Linked DNA regions of Lepisosteus oculatus. The protein of the gene in region 2 interacts with the protein of the main gene of each other region in a biochemical or structural test. Links are inferred from orthologs where the notes say so. Each region holds a gene or a part of one and is shown on either strand. Other genes may lie near its edges.

Region 1 (7,206 bases), on a different chromosome or scaffold from region 2:
CCGTAATTCTGAATGCATACTCGCTTTAAAAGTACCCCAATAACATACAGGGAACTAGGTATCAAATCTAAAGATTTTAAACAGGAAAGCAAAAACCTCTCTTAACGGAAAACAATTTTCACATCCTTGTCTGAAGCCATTGGACTGCAATGTCTGGAAAATGCAAGTTAAAATGCACATACGGAGATAAGCAAAGGCACATGTCCTGGATTACAGTATGTGACCCACAGAATTTGTAGTTGATTAGATATAATGTTCAATTTGTATATTAATATTGAATATGCAGACAGTTCAACATTGCTAAAATTGTGCCCTGCAAAATTAAGTTGGGTTCTTTTCAATAACAGGTTGGAAAAGCTTGATTTTTTGATCATTCCTCTGGCAAAACCAATGTTAAATGCTGACTACTGGTTTAATTGGGGAAAACAGGATTCTGACAGGTCGTCTGCTTTTGATCATGCAGTCAGGTGTGCTGGGAGCAGAGCCTCGACAGACCACTCTGCCCTCCACCCAGACCCACAGAAAGAGGACAGGATCTGAGCCGCACGTGCACACAGCTGTGTTCTCTCCATACAAGAGGCTAAACAGGTCTGAAGCGGTTTTTTCTGCCTTTTACCATGACGCTAATTCAGCCTTGATTATGTGTCGAGAATTTCTGCACCTCAGAGCAAAAGGCTGAGGGTGAGGCAGCATTTTCTAACCACTTCAGAAAAATCACGATATCCACCTGGGCCTTTAGAAATCAACAGTACGTTAGATTTTTCACACCTTTTTTTACACCTCCTAGTAAGTGTTATACTGTCTGCAGTCCAGGTCAAATCTGAGTCACATGCTAAGAATGTAGTATCTGCATCACAGGAAACAAACTTCAGGACATGCAGAATGATCTTCAATAATCATGCAAAAAAAAAATAAGAGCACCAAAACCTCTTTGAGATAGCTAGCTTTTACAAAACAGAGCACTGATTTAACCCTCAAATTGATAAACATCCCAATTAGGCTAGAGATTATGAGAAAACAGTCTGTTTTACATGCTGCTCTTGAAATGACAAGAATAAAAAGTTAACGTTACCCTTGAAACCACATCATGAACTGCTCATTGCATTTAACAGTGCATGAACCTGTAACTTGAACTTCCTCAAAAAGCACAATTGCATTTGACTGGTAAAAGAATGGTTTAAAGATGACAGACCAAAATGTTTTGACCCAAATTACCAGAGCTCACTGCAAGAGACTTTCTTTACCAGTTGGTCATTAACGCCTAATTGGCATTCAATGAGAGCTGGGGAAAAAAGATGAACTACAAAATCTATCCAAAAAAAAGATTTTAATTTACCAAAAAGTTCTCATCCAATAAAAGTAAAGGTGCTTTAGCTCTTCGTAAGATGAACTAGAATCCGGGCCGTCCTGCCGACCATCAAAACTGCCCACCTGACTGACCCCTGATGGGCACCAGTTAACTGGGAAGCTCTTCAGCCATTTTTATGCCGATGAAAAGATGCGAGTCGGGGAGTAACACTCGCAGTAAATGAGGTGAAGTGCATTACTCACGCTATCTTGTTCGTGATAATGGGCTCGGTCATTGCTCAAACACTCACGCTCCGACAATGCCTCCCTGGAAGGTCTGACTTCGTACTGAGCTGGGTGAGACTTTCTCCCCTCCTGTCACATCTGGGCTCGTCGCGCAAGCCCATCGTGACTCAGAAGTGTTTATTTGTGATTCGCGACAAATTAAATCTGGTTCTACCGCACTGTGAAGGCTGCCACAAGAAACAGCGAAGTTACACTGTCCCGTCTTCCTAGCTGCTCTTTCCAACCGGCTGGCGTCCAGTTCTCCAAACTTTTTGGAGATGCCGAGGGGGCTGTATGGCCTAGATTCAGTAATCCGTGCGCTGCGGATGAGGCAGGGCTCAGCGAAGCGAGGGGACAAGAAGGTGTAAGTTTATGTAACATGCTTTAACTTCATGATCATATTAAGTACTTAAGCTTAAAATTTGAAATTGGTAAAAACAACCTCTGAAATAACTGCACGACGAGTTGGACTGAAAGAACTAACACAACATAATCAATACTGGAGTCACCAACAACGTTCTTGACACTAATATTTAATACCAAGACCTGAGTGGTTTTCCAAGACAACATTTCACATGTAGACCTTCAAATAAGCGCTAAATACATCGTACCGTTTTGCAGTAAACTCCCGTTATGTCTCTGGAGATCAACTTTTATCAGTATCATACACACAAAAGCGTCCGTTAAAAAGTTTCAACTGATTACTTCCATTTCCCCATTTTCATACGAACATAAGCGCTGCTAATAAATCGAAATTAAACTGCAACCATTTACGAGCATGCTTACGCACTCCGGCTACAGGAAAGCTCAGACTTTAAATGAAATTATCACACAAAGCCCCTGCAGACGCGTACGTAACACAAATGTGAATTTGTGTTACGGAAATTAAGAAAATTGCAACTGGTCGTTTAAAAAACATCAAGCATGACCAAGATTATCATGTCCTCGAACAGCGCTAAAATGGTAATGACAGTAAGAACATTCATAAAACCAGAAGTCGCAGAGTACAATGAATAACTTTCTTTCGTCAGCCTCAGAAAATAAAATAGTATTTTGATTTCAGACTTAGCATTTTACCAACATTCAACAAGTGTCAAGAGGTCCTTAAAACATCGTTTTAAACACGCGATTAGTTATTAAAACGTTGATTTCACGCAAATAATTGAGATGCCTCTTACCTCGAACTTCGTGATGTTCAGTTCGCGTGTTCTCCTTTAAGGAGCATAGCCTGCCCTGATCCAGCTACAAGTTAGCAAGGACAAACCTACATTGTTTCCAACAACTTCTCTTCGCTCTTCCAACCCCGTTGCTGGCCGGTGTACGTGTGGAAAATTAATCCTCCAAGACTACGCCTTCAATGTGCATTAAAAGATCAACAACAAAACTCCACCTGGAAATACAGCAGAAAATGAATAGATTTTAAAGGGAAAACGACCACTAGTTACTCTGCAGCTCCCACTGTTCTTGTGTGCTGCGCGGCACGGAGCATGCTTCGGTGGGCGGGCCCTGCCAGCTTAGAGGCTCGGAGACCGGCTGCGACGGACAGCGACTTTCATTGGTCAGACGGGCTGTCAATCCGACCTTCTTCACTGTATGATTATCAGCAAGGTAATTACCCGTTTTGCAATTTATGAAAAGATAGAAGCTGTTGTTGTTCATTTTTTTTATCCCTCAAAATGTGTTTACTTCTCTGTTGTTTATTTAGTCACTTTAACTCTGTACTTTGTCGACTTTCCTAAGACTACGAGGCAGTAAATACCGTTGCCAAAGGTAACAAACCAGTGTACAATCAAGTCTTCCAGTAAATCTGCGAAAGTTTAAATGAGCAGCTTTGCCCGTTGATTAAATACCATCCATACCTGTATAACACTATTTAAAAAGCTATTTTATGGCCGTTAAAAATAATTTAGTCGTATATAGAAAGATGAATAACATTTTCAGCATTTGTAGTAGTGTTATACTAGTTTCACTATCGGAACAATAATAAAAATATATGTATAACCTTTAAAAAAGCAAAGTGGTACTAGTTCCTAAAGACAATTCTATTATTGTTTATTGTGTATTTCACGAATCTTTCAAATAGAAAGAAAATTGACATCTATAACGTTTATTTAAAAAGCAAAGGCTTTGCTTTCAAACATGCTTCTCAGCGTTGAATGCTAAAATTCTGAGAATGCCATCTCTTGACATGACCAACTATATTAATATACGGTTATACACGCTGTTCAACAAGCTACCTGGTTTTATGAAAGGGTGGAGTGTTCACAAAATAGTAATCTACCCTCTTTAGCAAATCACTGTCTTTAAACGTAATTGCTATTACGGGAAACGCCAGGCTTTAGCCAAGCTCCGTACACTGTGATGAAAGACTGAGATGCGCTAATTACAGCTGCATGAAGTCTGAGGCGTCATTACCTTATTATACAAACGCTGCCGCGTGCGTGCCGCCTTCTTTGTGCAGAGCTTTACAGTGTTAGAAGTGTTCTTGTGGAAGAACTGAATTCACTGGGAGCTGTATCGACCATCGGACGTGCCAGACATTCTGGTATCAGGAAAACTTAAAAATAGGGTTAGGAAACAGGACATTGAAACCTACATCAAACTGTCAAATAAACAGAACAGTATACTGTCTTATAATACAGGTTAGAATGAATAAACCAATTTTAAAATATGCATTATCAACCAATAAACGTTCAGTACGCAAGATATTCGTATATAAGCCCATCATAAACATGCTTCATTTTTGCATTTATTTCTTAAAATTCACGGACGCACGCATTAACTCTTCGTTAAAACAATACCTTGTATGCGTGCGAGTAAAATTGAAAATCTCTTGCGGTTACTTCAGTGTCCTCTGGCGGACTATAGGGGTAATGCATTGACCTTTTCTTCGTTTAGTGTATTTACAAAATTGGACCACTTGATACAATACAAAGCCAACGTATTCCACCACAATTCTATCTAAAAGTTAAAAGATGTATTTGATTTTTGCAGCTAAAGTAAGTTTAGAACTATTATGTCTCTCCATTACCAGGCATATCATTCAACCATGAAAGATCTTCACATACTGATTAAACAGGTTTGAGTAGATGGCTGCATCAGCATGCACTCAAAAAAAGGAAATACACGTAACAAAATGGGCCTTTTTTAATTTTTGTGCCACTCACCATCTGAGGTGATGTCAATGTGGAAACTGAGTTTCATCTTCCCACTTGTGTAAACAACCTTATTACAGACAGCTGTCCTCCTCCTGTGTGTACAAGAGGATGTGTATTGTTATCTAGTGTAGATTATGTCATTTCAATAAACAACCAGTTGGCACCATACAGTGGAAAAAAGGTGAAATACGCCTCGATTCTTCAGGTCCTTCACAGGAATTCAAAATCTACAGGAAGCAGACAGTGCAGCAGAGTGTTGAAGAAACACAGGCATCTGGGGTTCTTCCAGTCTTTAAACAACAACTTTCTGGCTGCGATACATGGAATCCAAAAAAAAAAGTGAATGAACGCTGAAGAGCTCTTAATCTTATCTGTTTACATTCAGCAACATGCTACAGCTTCCAGGCTCCAATATCACAGGAGCACCTTCATGGAGGCTGCAAAACACAGCTTTTTACTGTCTGGGGGAGCCAAAGAGTTCTGTGAGGAAACTAGCTGGTCAGACATCTGATTTCCTGGGGTACCTGGTTACCTGCTGACATGGAAACCCATCTCCTCATGAATGTTTTCTGTCATTCTCAACATCAAATGTGCAGTGTTATGCAACACTGCGCAGACACATGCCAAGTACAAACTTGCTATTTTTTTTCCCTCCTGCTCAAACTAATTTCAGAGCAATGGATGGTTATAAGACTTGTGTGTTTATCCTTCAGGCCACCTGGCTACAAAGAATCATGCGTCCCCTGATTGAGCAGATAATAAATATTCCCTTTAACTGCTCGGGATAACAAGAACCATGTGGTTTGTGTTTTTCCTTTCCAGCAGCTGCATCTGAGTCCCATCTGCCAGACTTGGTGTTGCTGTTCGTGCTGTGGGATCGCCCTCACGGCAGAGCGCAGACCCCAGGCTGGCTGGAGTGTGGGAGACCCTTTGCAGGCCAGGTTTTAATTACGGCCGCAGGACTAGACGAAAAAAATGCTGACGACAGGAGCAGTCAGATGAGCTGTCGGAGCAATCTGGCATGGGCCACGCTGAGCCCGAGACTTCTCCGTCGGCTTGCAGAGGCTGCCCATCTGAACCGATTAAGAGACACCACATGAAATGTTGTTTTTATCCTCTTTGAACTGCACCATGTGTTTCCTGTGCTCTTGAGATGCAGAGGCTCAGCGGATCTCAGGCTCTGTAATCAGGCTTGTGCAACAGGAAGAGCACCATTCTGCTTCCTTGAGCTGCGCGGGCTGTATGGTGTGTGTGGTTCTCAGGACCATGGGACTGAGCAGAAACTGATCAAATTGGTGTTTAGGAGCCTCTTGGATTTTCGCCTTAGAGATCATGACTTCAGAGACAGAAAAGGCCTGATTTTGGTTCCAGTTAATGTGGTGAAGCTGTTATAAAAGGATACCAATCTCATCTCATCATGTCAAACTGACAATTACAAAACTTTATTGCAGGGCCTATCGCCTTCAGTGCTTAGCACTGAGTATGAAACAGGACTGTATACAGTATGAGCTGGGTCTTCAAATTAATCAGCATCTCAGATTACCCCTACAGCACAAACAGTATAAAGAACTGCTTATGATACACTATTGAAGATTTCTTTTCAATGAAGGATAGGAGATGAAAAATAACTATATAAAATATTTTTTAAAACGACAAAAAAGTTTTAAAGGTCTAGAGGGAGTTTTACGTATATTTTTACAATTACAACCCAATTGTACATGGCTTGGCTTTGTGGCTGCGATTGCTGTACCACCTTACCTACAGTAGGAGAGAATGGGACATGCAGACACCTTCTTCTGAGAAGCTCTACAACTTGTTACAAGTGGTGCTTCTCTCTGCAAGCCTGCAGGTGCCCAGCAGGTGTCGCTGTTTTTAGGGATGCTAGTTCACTACTGGCAGACATTAACTTTGCTGTGTCGGTCAAGCTCCTGCAGGGGAGGGCACCCAGGTGACAGCTGGCCTATGACATGGTTGGTACAGCAATAGCAAAGGTGCTGCATTTTTACTGTAGTACATAGTGTCTGCTACTACAATCAATACGTTATTTTTAGATTCTAAATAAGGCAGATGACTAATACACATTTCAAATATTTTCAATCAAACAAGTAATACAAGCTGTAAGGGGGAGGAGAGGGCAGCCACATTTCTCCAGAAAAGAGAAATGGCACATGCTTAAAAGTCAGACCTGCCAGAGAATGCTGCTGCCAGACAACCCTAAGACACCCCCACGTGGTAATTCTACCAAAACCCTGCTCCTTCACTTTGATTCTTCCTTCTCCTGCACACACAACAGAAAGTGAGCACAAGCATGCAAGCTTACATGTGAGATTGCCACTGACCTATTGAAGAGATTCACCGGCCAATTAAAGTTAAGACCGATCCACTTACATCAACCCGGTGACGTTCATAAGAAAAGGCTTAGTGTTTTTCGTTTTCTAGGGAGCCACTTGGTAAGAGGGAGGAGAAGACAGAGCCA
Region 2 (6,829 bases):
ATCTCACTCAAGACTCAAGCCTCTCTCTCTGGGACTGTAGCTAAAAATAAACCTAAAATAAGATCCCAAACACAAAAAAGTGGATAAAACCAAGAACTGTATATCACCAGTGCCAAGCAGCAAGTGTACTGGTATATACAGCACAGTAAACGTATACACACGACACATGACCAAGACCAACGCGCCAGGATACAGATGCCTCCCCGTCTCTCTCAGCCCGGTCTCCGAAGTGCAGTGGGCCCTGTCTGGTCACTGTCCCTCAGGCCGCTGCACAGCTCCGGATTCTGCAGCCAACACCCCACCGGTTGTCCCCCAACCATTCGCTTCAATTCAGCTCGGTGGCACCCAGTGCTAATTTTGGTTTTGCAACTTGTCTCACTCGTGTCGACAAAGTTCAAAAACATCTTGAGAGCTCATTTTGCAGCACCTCTCTCTCTCTCACGCGCGCGCGCGCACGCACACACACACAGCTCATAGGGATCTTGCTCAGCTGAAGAAAAAAAAACTCCCAAGGCCCTTCGGCAAACATTTGTTCTTCCAACACAACACAAGGAAACTCTGCTGACAGACTGCTGGTGCCGAGCTCTCCCAGGCTTTCAGCCCCCACTCTAGAGCTGCCCTCCAGTCACACAGAAGCCATCGCTCGATCACACCAGCAGCCCAGACGAGGAGCTTGGCAGACTGACGGATTCTCACACAGGCTCATTTTCACACCCCTCACACACTGACCACTGAGACCAGGGCTGAAGGGACAGGCCTGTTTAAAGAGCAGAGTGACAGTGGCCCAGCTCCTCCATGACTTCAGACCTTGGTCACCGGACCCACACAGACCCTCTCCGCCAGTAAGAGAAACCCAGCCGGGCTCAGAGGAGCATCACCATCATCACACCTGCGCAGGAGTGGGAGACTCTCTCTCAGCACACAGGTGCGCCGCTGTCAGTGACCGGTGCCGAGACTGGGCCAGCCCACTGACACGGCTCATCATCAGCAGCGGGGGGGCGGGCGTGCTCGGAGCTCGTCTCGCACCCGCGTGGACCGCTCTCACGGTTTCAACGCGCGGGGGGGAGATGTCAGGTACTGGGTCCACGCCAGTGTGAGGGGGGTGGGGCACGACCTGTTGAGCTGGGACTGCGCGGAATGAGGAGAGACCCGTGCACCTCAGCTCGACTTCGCTCTGTGGAGGGGCGACACACGACTCACCCCCCCCTGACCTGACGCGCACCTATGGAGGCTCGTTAACCCCCTCGATACCCAAGGAACCCAAACAAGCCCATCCGCTCGCCGACTCAATCCACGCCCAGGCACGCCGGCCACGATCCCGCAGGACGCGGCGCTACTCACGCTCGAAGTCGGAGTCGTCGTCGTCGTCTTCCTCGCCCTCGTCCCCGTTGGACTCGGTCTGCATGGGCTCGCCGTCGAACAGCACGGCCTTGGCGGGGGCCCTGCCGGCCCGGCCGTCCCGCAGGCGGGTGAAGTACTGCACCGCGAACTCCACCAGGTCCGGCGGCCTCTGCCGCAGCACCTCCACGGTGTAGCCCTGCAGCAGCTCCGTCAGGCCGGCCGGGATCTCGATGCTCATGGCGCTGCCTGTGGTTTATTTTCGTTCCCCTGTGAACTCACCCCTCAGAGGAGGGTGTGCGAGTGTGTATGTGGGGGTCTGGAGGAGGGGTCGGGTCAGCTTTTGTTTGATTTAAAAAAAAACAAAGCGTTTTAAAATAGCGCAGGAATGAAGGGGGGGGGGCGGGGTCGGGAAAAAATATTTTTTTTTTCTGTTGTTGTTGAAACTGAAGTGCATGCAATACGAGAGAGGGGAGAAAAAAAATAACACAACACGGTGCCCCCTGACTGGGAAATAATACCTAACGTAACACGAGCACGCGTACGGCAAGCCGATTACACGATGCACACACGAGTGGGAATACTCTGTCGTGGGGAGCAGCTGCACACAGACACGCGGGGACGTGTTTTCTGACAGCTCCAAATCGCACAGATCCTCCTGAAGCGGCGGCGGCGGCTCAGACCCGCTGGTTTATTCGGGGAGGAGGAGGAGGAGGAACACGCAGACGAGCAGCCCGGGCCGCTCCGTGCGGAACCGGCGGTGTTTACGAACCCCGGCGCGGCTGGCTCGTGGCCGGGTCGGGTTAAGGCCCCGCTCGAGCCCTTCCCCCCCCGTGCGCTCGAGGCGAGGAAAAGTTTTTTTTTTAAATGAAAAAAAAAACAAACGTTCGGCTCGCGCGCGCGTAAACCGCCCCGGCTGGAGGGCAGGTTTTTTTTTTTTTTGGGGGGTATGGGGGACCCCGCCGACTTCACCGCTCCGGGCTTGTCGTGAGGCTGTGGGCTTTATTTATCTCTCGATCTATCCGCCCGCGTCTCCGGTCCGGCGGCGGCGACCAGCCCCTTCGGGCGAGGCTGCGAGGTAACTCCCCGGCTCGACAGCCTCCTCTGCGGGTCTCCCCGTCTACCTCCCCTTCCTCCGGGGCGCCCCCTCGCTGCCTGGCCCGTGACGAGCGCCCGGGCCGCCGGGGACCATGAAGGGCCGAGACCGGGGAGGAGCAGGCCGGCCGGGGCTGCGAGCGCCGTCCACCCCGCTCCGCCTGGACCGGCCCGCCCGCCTCTGCGCTCCGCACCGCCAACAGAGGGAGAAAGGGGGACGCGGGAGCTCCCGAAGAGCGGGTGGCTTTCTCTTTTTTTAAAAAAAAAACAAAATACAGCAAAGTCACAAGGAGGAGAGGAAAAAAAAAAAGGCGTCAGTCCAAAAGTCAAGATAAACCCTTGGCTGCGGCTCGGGCTGTCTGTCCCTCTGAGCGTCCCTCTGCTGCTGCTGCCGCCGCCGACCAAAACCCGACTTTTGTCCCCCCTCCTCCTCCCGGGACAGGAGTCCCCGGCGTGCCCGGCTTCTTCTTGAGTCAGTTACTCGAACACGAATTATCCGCTTGTTGATATTTACAGTCGTCTCCCGCTCTCTCCGCGTCTCCCTCGCTGTGCCGCTGCCGGCGAGACCCTCGCTCTCCTCGGCCGGAGCTGCAGAAGCGGCAGTGAGGAGGAGGAGGGGCCCGGGCGAAGCCGCTGAGCGACGTGCCTACCCGCCAATCAGGAGCCGGCCCGGCCAAGCCGACGCCAAGAATTTTCCCTTATTTGGGCATGGAGTAGGCGTTATCGCCCCGCGCGCGCGGGAGGGGAGGGAATGGGGCCCCGGTGGCGGAATCGGAAGGGACCAATGAGCGGAGGCGGGGGGCGGGCGAGTGAGGGGGGCCTTGTGTAACAGAGGGCCAATCGGAAACGAGGTAAGGCGGCGGCGGCGGCGCAGCCAATGGGAAGGCCAGGCAGGGAGGAGACGTCACGAAAGGGGAAGCCGAGAACGCGGGAGGGGCTGGAGGTGTGTTTGACACCGCGCCTGGCAAAGCAGGGAGCACTCCGATTGATCAAGCGTGATCGATAAGCTGGATCCCGATTGCACCGCTTGGCCAGTAACTAACGGCATTTCCAAAGCTCGTTAGCATACGCCCGCCCGAAGGCTTTAGCACGGGGCAGGTCTGCGGCGTAAGGTACAGGGTGCATCATTCGCGCACGCCAGCGTTTCGTTTTCACTCTTCTTGGGTGCGCTGGGATCGATCATCGCCTCCTTTCCTTTAACCCCATTTCGTAACATTGCGTAAATCCCTCGTGACCCAGTCGGCTTTGTCTGAAATCCTGGTAATTAAAGCCGTTCTATTTTCGTATCTGATTAGGTGGGCCGGTACCAGACGGTGAACTCCGCGCAGCGGGTCACTGTTAATGCGGCTGACCGTGCACATCGGTGGGCTATCCCACGCTGCGCTAGAGGTCCCAGGTCCGGGGGTGCATCGTGTGCGCAGGGCTCCCTCTGGTGGCCACTCCTGGTGCTGCACCCTCGTGTTCAGACACGTTAACCTGCCCCTTGCTCTTTCACGGCTGCAGCGGCTCGCCTCGTACTGCGATCGGGTTAGAGGACTTTCTTTCTAAGATGCTGTTAGGCAAACCTACTGCCCTGCTTCCTGTAGTGCAAGCGCATTCATCGTCCAGTTAGCACCTTGGATAAAAAGTGGCAGCTACATAAAGGCAGAATAACACAAACACAACCAAATACACACAAGTGCTGGGGTCAGGCTCGTTTGATAACTGGGTTTAAACCAGAGTCAGAACTGTAGCTTAGAAGGGTCAATAAATGTTCCTCTCCACACACACTGGAGGGCATGTACATATACACATATATACAGGTGTACAGTATATATTCTATATACACACACTGGTATTCCCTGTATTTTAGCGCACTGCTTGCTTGACATTCAGGAAGGTTTTTAAGGCAAAGTGTTCTAAATCATTTTTTTTAGTCTCAGTTAAAGGCCATCGTTAAAAAAAAAAACAGGCAATTTCGAATGAAAAACGAGAACAATCAAAAAGATATTGCAGCCGAGGACTGCAAAGGTCTGGCTCTTGTCCCTCTCTCCACAGGTGCGTCTGTGTCCTGACCTCCAGCTGCCCCAAAGGGCAGAGCAGGGCGGCGCTCACAAGCTGGGAGCGATCCAGTTGAGAAACTTCATGGCCACCTCGAACCCCAGGAAACAGGCCTGAGAGAGCGAGGGAGCGAGGGAGAGAAAGGGGGAGATAGATTTATACCAGGAGAACACTCATTCAGCAGGTTTATACACATGAAACACTGTCCATATGCATTCAACAGAACTGGGAAAGTCCCTGGCCACCCAGAGAGGACAGGCTCAGTGACCACAGCCTGGACACAGGCAGACCTGGCTGTCCGGAGAGGACAGGCTCAGTGGCCACAGTCTGGACACAGACACTGGACACAGGCAGACCTGGCTGCCCAGAGAGGACAGGCTCAGTGGCCCCAGTCTGGCCAGAGAGACTCACAGCGTTGGCAGGGAAGGCACGCAGCATGACAGCAGTGAAGCCCTTGTACAGCGAGGCCACGCCCTCCTCGCGGAGCAGCTCTCTCAGGACGTCCCGGAAACCATGTGGGTACCGGCCCTCCGGCGCTGCGGACAGAGGGGCAGAGGGACCGGGTCAGTGCACACCCCTCCCTCCTCTCCCCCCCCAGTCAGAGTTCAGTGGACTGTTCTGTTCTCCACCCCCTCCTGACCCCTGAGCAGAGAGAGAGACCCCTTCTTGTTCTCCCCCACCCCTCCCTCCACCGGCCCACGACCCGTCTCACCGGTCTGGTACCGGGACTTCAGCACGTCCGGGGGGATGGCCACTGCCCAGTTGAAGATGCCCGCCATGCCCCCGGCAAACAGCACGCTGGGGACGCTGAGCTCGTTGGGACTGGAGAGAGAGGAGAGGAGGGGAGAGGGGGGGGGTCAGTGGGCCAGCTCTCCTCCCCGTTCTGTTCAGCCGGCCTGGTTTCGAGAGCCCGAACGCACCCCGATCCAAACGTACGATTATAGTAGCCCCAGATCGCCAGGTGGCGGCGGGCCCCCCAGGCACACGCCCCCTGACCGACCCGGTCAGGCCCGCGGGTCCCCGGCCACATCTGGGCCAGCGGTGACCAGAGAACTGCATGTTGGGGCTCTGGGCCCAGCGGTTGGATATCACACCCCCAGCCCCCAGCGGTGCCCGGGACACTTGTGTCGTCTCTGGGGGGGGGTCAATGAGCCCCCCCCCCGGTCAGGGGCACTGCTGACCAGCCCCCCGCGCGGCTGCAGAGAGACGGGCACGGGCGCTGACCTTTTGCCCTCGGGAGTCAGGATGTGCTTCAGCCACTCGTACGTCATGAAGTACATCCCGCTGGCCGGCACGTCTGAGAGAGGGAGACAGCGCCGGTATCAGGGTCTCAGTCTCGCGGTTCGGTTCGTTTGTCATACACACAGGCGCAATGAAATGCTTATTTGCACGTTCGCTCCTATACACAGACATCAAAGGAATCGCCCAAAAGATAAAGACAGAACAGCAGCAGCAACAACAAATTAAATGACGTATAACAAAAAAAAAACAAATACGTTCTCTCTCTCTCTCAGTGTCTCTCCCAGTGTCTCTCTCAGTGTGTCTCTCAGTGTCTCTCTCAGTGCTAGAGTCTCTCTCCCAGTGGGTCTCCCAATGGGTCTCCCAATGGGTCTCCCAATGGGTCAGTGGGTCTCCCAACGGGTCTCCCAGTGGGTCAGTGGGTCTCCCAATGGGTCTCCCAATGGGTCTCCCAATGGGTCAGTGGGTCTCCCAATGGGTCTCCCAATGGGTCAGTGGGTCTCCCAGTGGGTCTCCCAGTGGGTCTCCCAGTGGGTCTCCCAGGGCCCTCCCTCGTCAGTACCTCTCATGAGAGTGAGCACCGTGCCCTTGTAGACGCCCCTCAATCCGCTCTCTCTGTACAGCTGCTTCACGCAGTCCAGCGGCCCGGCGTACTTCACCTCCCCCGAGGCTGCCTGGATCTGCAGGGCCACAGAGTAAACCCGCTGTCACTCAACCACACAGCGCTCTCGGCTCAAACCCAGCCTCACACCCGTGGGGCACGGCCCTGACCTGCAGGAGGCACTTGATCCTCTCTCCAGGAGCCATGATGGCAGTGGTGAAGACTCCCGACAGCATTCCCGCTGCGAAGAGCTGGGGATACCTGAGAGAGAGGGCAGAGGATGGAGAGGAGACAGGAAGAGGCGGGGAGAAGGGGGGAAGAAGGCAGGAAGGGGCGGGGAGAAGGCAGGAAGGGGCGGGGAGAAGGAAAAGAGAGTTGGACAACATGGAAGAGGGAGTGAACCAGGAAAGAGAGGGAGGGATGGGGAATGAAAGAGTTAAGGGAGACAAGAGGACAAAGAAGTTCAGGCACATATTTGGGTTTACAGAGCGTCGCTCGCAAATACTCCTGGGGTGC
Region 3 (6,872 bases), on a different chromosome or scaffold from region 2:
GCTTCTCGTTCCAATTCCGCATTCGGGTTACCAGAACCAAGACCGGAAACAAAATTATACTAAAAAGCTAAAATCGCAGAGCAGACTGAATCCTCCTTTTTTAAAAACAGAAGTAAACCGCAAGGTAACCCTACGTTTCTGACTGACTTGAAAGAGGCTGCCAACATCATCCCCGTTTCTGCAGGGGTGGACTGTGAATCCTAACCAAGTCCAGGCTTCCACAGTGAGAAGTCATTCAGGAAAACAAGAGGTAACCGTCAAGTCTACCCTGGCAGTTAAGAGATCAGAAATACACAAAGCGCTCCTTCCCCATCTTCTCCATTCTAGCATGTTGTAACATCAGTCAATTGCATAATTATTTAATTGCATGCTGCACGGGCCAATTAAATAATTAAAGACCAGGTTGTTGGAAAGTCCTGCAGTGTGAGGTGCTGGAAGAACGGCAGGTCTAAATGCCCTTGGCTCAGATCAATCCGGGTCCCCTTTACAGTATTTCACTCCGCTCCAGTTGGGATCACACCGCCTTCCTGCCTGCCTTGTGCGCATTGCCAAAAAGACCTTTAGCTTGATCAACCTCTGCGGGACAGGAGACTGAGCAGGTAAGCAGCACCAAGCAGTACGTGGCGGCAAGAACCGCAAACAAGCCAATAACGTCACCCACTCCCCTCTCCACAGCCATGACAATGATGAAACATGCAGTGCTCAATCCCATAGCAGGAAACCTTCCACAATGCATTCAGCTCAATGTGGCACACAACATTTCCTCCACCTTCCAGCCACCTTGTCTGATGGCAGAAGAGTAGCGGACTGACTGTGGTTTGATTCATGGCTATCCGGGGAAGTAGAGGGCCCTTCATTCCTCATGCTGAAATCATCCACCACACACAAGTGGATGCTTAACATCACCAGGGCCAGCTCGAGGAGCAGCCATCCCATTCACAACGAGGAACTCGGTTAAGGCATTCTGAGCTTCACCTACAGACACATTTATTTTTGCAGTTGTATAAAAAAAATGCTTTGAACATGAAAAACCAGGCTTCACCATTAACTAAGTGAACACACCTCATCTAAACCTGAGGAAAAAGCAACCGCAAACCGCACCACAGAAAATGAGTGATGAAGCACCACTAAAACTCCAACAGGAGGAGTTCACTAACAAGTATGTCAGTTGAAAACTTCACAGCTGCTCGCGAATTGGAGAAGAAAACATGCACTCATCCCGCCACAACAACGATACGATTCCACAACGACTACGGGCGCCTAACCTCCCGAAGAGCTGCCGTGCACTCGCCCCAGGGGGATTCTGTCTCGCCCGCCGTGGGGAGGCGGCTTGTAGCCGCAGGCAGGCAGGTAGCCCACGACTACACACACCCAAGCGCACACGGCGACATTTTTAAAGCGACATTCCGGTGACGGCGGAGGAAGAAGAGGGAGAGCGACGCGCACGCCGTCTGCTTCCGTGACCTACACCTGTTTCCCCACGCGTGGAGAGGATCTCCCCGGCTGCTCTGACCGGCACGCGAGGCCTAACCTCCCGTCCTTAATGAAGCGTTACCGCCTCCCCTCCAAAGCTCACCTTGAACCAGGAGATAAAATAACTGCGGCCGCGCCGCGACCTTGGCAAGCGGGCGCAAGGGACACCGGGCTGGCCGTGTGTGTGCCCGGCGTGTCGACAAACCGAGCAAGTGGGCGATTTTAAGTGTATCGCAAGGTCTAATCGGAAACCCCCCCCCACCCAACACACACACACAACACGCCGGCGTCCTTCCGAAAAGCCCCGTTTCTGCAGCAGAAACTTAACAGACAACCTCACACACAAGCATCGTCAGGCACGTTGCAGAAAGCAGGGACTGCAAGCTGCTACAAGACGAGCGAAGGTGCACCGCCATCCCCGCTACATTTCGCCAGTGGGGAAACCGAATTTTAAAAAAAAAAGAGAGAGAAAGGCAACAATCTCATTCCACCCCAGTCATGCGGCACCGCAGACGACAAAAACCAAGGAAACAATGCAAAACGAGCGATGCCGCTGTAGTATATGTATGCGGTATATTGCGAAGGCGAGGTAGGCCGCAGCGCTCCTGGTCACTGGGCGAATGAGGAGAATGAGTCACCTCCAGACCCGCCGAAACGGAATCGCTCTCCTCCGTCAAATTCACCGGGAACTCGGCTACCGGCGGCCTTCAGCACGGCGTCGGGCGCTAGCGGGTTTTAACGAGCCCATGAGGATCACCGCTCCGGCCCTTCAAACCTCCCCGCTTCGCCGTCTTTGTACCTCTCCGGTCCGGCGGCGCGCACCACACCACCCCGCTCCTCGACTCGGGTCGCAGGCGGTGCCGCGCCGCTATACGGGGGGCCAGGGAGGTGGTGATGGTGGGAGGGAGAAGCGAAAGATTCAAAACGGCTACACTTTCGAAATCACACACGCCGCCTCCGCGGGCGGGCGACCCCCTCAATCCAGCCGGTGCGATACTCCGGTGCTCCGGGCCAGAACAAGGCAGCCTCCTTCGGTGTCTTTGTGCCCAACCGAGAGGAGGGGGGGTGTGTGTGGAGAAAGGACAAAAAATAATGAATAATCCCGTTTTCTGTTCTTCCAAACTACAGCAAAGACCTACTGGGAATGCACGGAGGTGAGTGGTGGTGGTGGTGGTGGGGGGTTAAAAAAACCCAGTTCGGAGACTCGAGTCGGGAAGGCTCGCCTGAAAAGTTAACTTACGGCTCCGGTGCTCCCTGAGGTTTGATAGGTCGCTGCTACGTCAGGAAATCTAACGCTACTATTAACACGCCTGCTGAGCCGACAGCCCCGTTCGCCTCGCCGCCGCCGCACATGGTGTGGGATACGAAGCGCACGTATACTTACTGTTTTTCTTTTTTGTAAAGCGCCACCGTGAATTGTATGCGACTATCTAAACAGATTCGTGCCCTTCTCTTAATCCCCCAGCGTGCTCCCCTCTCTGTCTGTCTCTCCTCCCCACGTGCTGGCAGTCCGGACACTGGACTCTAAAAACAGACACAACAGCTGATCACATCTCGCGACAGGCCCGGGCAGCCAGGCGGGTCTCGCGGAGGTTCCGAGCCAGGCGTCGAATCCCGAGAGGCGGGGTTTAGAGCAGGAAGGAAACTGGCGCCCCTCCGGCCTCCATGTTGGCTCAGGCGCCCGGCGCTTCGCCGGCGGGACGGCGCCGGGCGGCCAGGAGCCGCCATGGCGTGGGTTTCCGCGGCGGGCGACCTCTGCCCCTATCGCGAGGCTGGGAGGAGGGGACGCGTCACGGGCCGACGAGAAAAGCTCGTAGTGTTCACGGATGGTGGCCTGAGAGAATCTGACGGCACGGGCAGCTCATATTGCCTGGCTTTTGGTGTGAAAATAAGAATCGCTGCTGTTACTTGATTTAACGTGGGGCTGGGCTCATTCATTGTTATAAACCTCCTGGGAGCTAGAATATTGTAACGAATTCGGGTTTCGGTACGGAACGGAGCAGGCATGGGACTCGGGGAATAGGACTGAACACATTTATTAACTTGAACTTGAACCGGAAAAGGTACACACACAAGGACAGAGGTTACAGCGCTGCACCTTCTCTAACACACACACGAAAGGAAGGGGCTGTCTCGCAGCCTCCGCCCTACTATATACCGTCCTGTAGTCCCGCCCCCAGGCGCTGTTCTCAGCCCGCCTGGCGGGGCAGTACAATATACAGTCTATACACTATCATACTAAGAAACAAAAGCAGCCACCCCCTTTTAAAAACGGTGTCTTCTACTGAGACGGTGGAAAAAACAAGATGGGGGCTGCACGTTGGTGGTGGTGGAGGGGATCCCCATTACCTGTAAAGCGCTTTGAGTGGAGTGTTCAGAAAAGCGCGATATAAGTGTAAGCAATTAATTAATTAATTAATTAATTAAAAGCGTTTCCATCTCGTCTTGTCCAGATCGCATCCGAGCTGGGACTGGTCAGTACGGGAAAATGTATCTCAAAAAAGAACCTGCTGTAGTGATGTAGTGATAGACCAGTAGGTGGCAGCCAATGGGCGACACTGCACCATAGGAGGCGCTGTCCTTCAGATGAGTTAAACAGATCCTGCTGTATTAAAAATCTCAGGGCAAGAGGCAGGTTGTTAACTCCAGTGTCTGGGGCAAACTACACTCTGGATTTGTATAATCTAGGGCTCCCTATTTTTTAAAAAATGAGTTATGCATGTACAATACAAGTGATATGCAATGTTTTGTAATGTATTCAGATGTACAGAACTAGTATGCATCCATACAAAAAATTCCCCATGGGGGACAAAGTTAATCTTATTTCCTGGGATGAGGAAGAATCTACAAGATGAAAGGCTAAACAATCTGTTAACTCTCATGTTATTAGTTATTGTATTTTTTAAGTTTATTTTGATTTGCCTGTGAAGCAAGAAAAGTCCCCCTAAAGTCTATGGACCTCCTTTTCATGTTCGGAGCAGAAATCCCAAAACGTGAGATTATGTAAAGTCAGTAACGATCATTTAATTTTTGCGGGCATGCTTTCATCATGCAAGAGCGTGATGCTGACTGCGTCTGATGAACTGTGCAGTGTGCGTCAGGATGCCTTCGCAAGAGAAAGGGTTTTGCATTGTGAATGGTGCTAATCTCTGGTTTGACTAAGCAATTAAGCGTACTTCCCTCAAGTGCCTCTGCAGTTAGTAAAAGCACAAGAAGAGATCGATCAAGGAGCTCAAGTCCACAGGACAGGAAAGCTGACAGTAGCAGCCACTATCTGCCTTAACTTTCTTTACTTAACGTTTTTTCCTCATGGTCCCTGAGCTTAAAATATAAAACTCACAGGTAGATATAAGAGGTGCTAATGACAAAAATATTTGTAATCTAAAATAGTTTCTTGGATCCATAAACTTCTAACAGCAGGATGTCTTCTTCTTAAACATGATTCCCTTTCCACCAAAACAGGCACTGCACAATTCCAGTCTTTGTGCCTGCATGGTACTACAGTTAAAGGCATCAGCTACACCCAACTAGTCAGCTAGTTTAACCATTAACTAGCCATTTGCACAAAAGGCCTCACAGACTGGGTTTTCCACCTGTCCTGAGGTGTCTTGTATTTAGGCTCTAGCTTCAGTGGGTAATGCACTTGTAAGAAGTTCAGAGCAAGAGAAAGCAAGTTACCTGGCAGGGAAAAAGCATTCAGAGCACAAGCCGGACACAAAAATAAAGCTGGGACAAAAATAATCCCATCAGCTCATCCATACAGAAAAATCTGCCTGGACTGCTTTAAAAAAAAAGTTCACTTAATTATAATTTAAAACGTGCGTTTTTTCTTCTTCAGCTATCTCGGAGGACTTGTCGGCTCTCTGCCTGGGTCACCCGAACAGAAGGACACCAGCACAACAGATGTTAACAGGTTGAATTTACATTTTTACTTCCAAAAAAAGTCATACATACAGGGATGGAAATGGAAAGGGAGAGAGGTGGGACGAGCAAAAACTTTGAACAATGATTTCTACAATGGTAGCTACGAGTAACATATCCAAATCTGACAGCAGTTTCTGTAGCGTCTGATGAGTTCCTCTGGCATGTCTTTGCCACACAGAAGTAAAAGGAATGAGGCTATTCATTAAGGTAACATTGCTCATGGCGAAGTCCAAAGGGAACAGTAAAGTTTACCTTACACAGTGCGAGTTTATAATACACAGCAATTTGTAGTCATCTCTATTTTTTTCTCAGTATGTTTATTTTAATGGCATAATGCAATGAAAGTGGAGAGTATCATTACTAACACTAGAATAATTAAATTTGTATGTTATACATGTACAGCAACTAACTGCTTTACAAAAAAGCAAAATAATACAATATATCGTCACATGTATTTACAGTGTAGTAAATATACCTTTGTCAAATTTTACACAAAATATTTACAGAGGTGAAACGTACTGCATTAAAAAAAATAGTGTGGCTAACGCTCAACAGTGACTCCTTGTGGCGAAAATGTGTTTTGCATAACCTCGTGGAAGAGGTGCCTAATTTTAGGTCATTACTCCTTGCAAACGACATGTCTGACTGCAGTTAGGAATAGTGCAATTCTACACACTACAAAACAGCCTTCACACAAACCAGGTCATCTGCTCTATGTGCACTCTCAGCTTTTAAAATCTTTTTGAAAATCATTAGGTGCCCTCAGAAAATGGTGGTTGTATTTTTTAAAAGGTCTCGGTTCCGGATGAGCTTTGTTTCGCTGTCCAGTCAGAGGCAGGACCTTTATCTCTGCAATGCAAACCAACAGCCGCCACTCAGTCTGCCATATTCTGGAGTTCCCAGCTAACAAACGTCACGTCTGTGCTTGCTAACCTTTTCAGTATCCAGTTCCCAGTCCATCGCTATTCCCCCTACAGTTGCGTACCATTGTCACACAGGTGCAGAGCATTCTTTTGAGGAGGAATTCGCAAAATATTTCTCATTAAAGGGTGAGAAAATGGGAATTCCAAAATGAGTGAAAATATTTTTAAGTTTGTTCCTATTCAATAAACAATTTTTACTAATTCGGTATCATCTATTGAAAACTGAAATAACCCCGCATTGGAGACTAAAGGCTTATAAGCGAGTTGATCCAACTAGTCGTTTTTCCCTTCCCATACAGTTGTGCAGACAGAGCTTCTCCCACCTTCTGCTAAGGTGCGAGATTTCTTTCTGCGCAACGTCTGCATCGCGCTGCGCCAGGTGACACTTGTGACAAGAGAGAGCAAGTTGCCTGGGGAGGGAAAACTGCATTCTGCACCCTGGCACGAAACACAAATAAAGCAGAGATGCACCCAGAATCCTCCCCTCAGCTGAATCAGTTTCGTCTCAGGCCTCTCCTGTACAGCATCTCGGTTACTGGCGGTCCAAAACCT

What was found. The genes of interacting proteins can lie anywhere in the genome.
Region 1: the proteins of cAMP-dependent protein kinase type II-alpha regulatory subunit (region 2) and akap13 form a complex in vitro, tested with the Homo sapiens proteins (3 studies listed by BioGRID, with this or other methods). The link is inferred for Lepisosteus oculatus from reciprocal best matches to the Homo sapiens genes PRKAR2A and AKAP13.
Region 3: the proteins of cAMP-dependent protein kinase type II-alpha regulatory subunit (region 2) and akap1b form a complex in vitro, tested with the Homo sapiens proteins (2 studies listed by BioGRID, with this or other methods). The link is inferred for Lepisosteus oculatus from reciprocal best matches to the Homo sapiens genes PRKAR2A and AKAP1.

Annotation. Positions count from the first base shown.
Region 1 is NC_090700.1:54,735,341-54,742,546, reverse strand, and holds the start of akap13 (A-kinase anchor protein 13), read right to left. Parts: upstream 3,020-7,206; 5' UTR 2,751-3,019; intron 1-2,750. UniProt on the Homo sapiens protein: Scaffold protein that plays an important role in assembling signaling complexes downstream of several types of G protein-coupled receptors.
Region 2 is NC_090699.1:65,621,279-65,628,107, reverse strand, and holds the start of cAMP-dependent protein kinase type II-alpha regulatory subunit, read right to left. Parts: upstream 3,017-6,829; 5' UTR 1,580-3,016; coding exon 1,342-1,579; intron 1-1,341. Other genes in the region: slc25a20 (mitochondrial carnitine/acylcarnitine carrier protein), read right to left, coding at 4,524-4,586, 4,885-5,009, 5,186-5,295, 5,698-5,770, 6,275-6,392, 6,484-6,574. UniProt on the Homo sapiens protein: Regulatory subunit of the cAMP-dependent protein kinases involved in cAMP signaling in cells. Type II regulatory chains mediate membrane association by binding to anchoring proteins, including the MAP2 kinase.
Region 3 is NC_090721.1:6,861,373-6,868,244, forward strand, and holds the start of akap1b (A kinase (PRKA) anchor protein 1b), read right to left. Parts: upstream 3,020-6,872; 5' UTR 2,858-3,019; intron 2,799-2,857; exon of another isoform or gene 2,714-2,798; intron 2,682-2,713; exon of another isoform or gene 2,613-2,681; intron 2,492-2,612; exon of another isoform or gene 2,273-2,491; intron 2,243-2,272; exon of another isoform or gene 2,112-2,242; intron 1-2,111.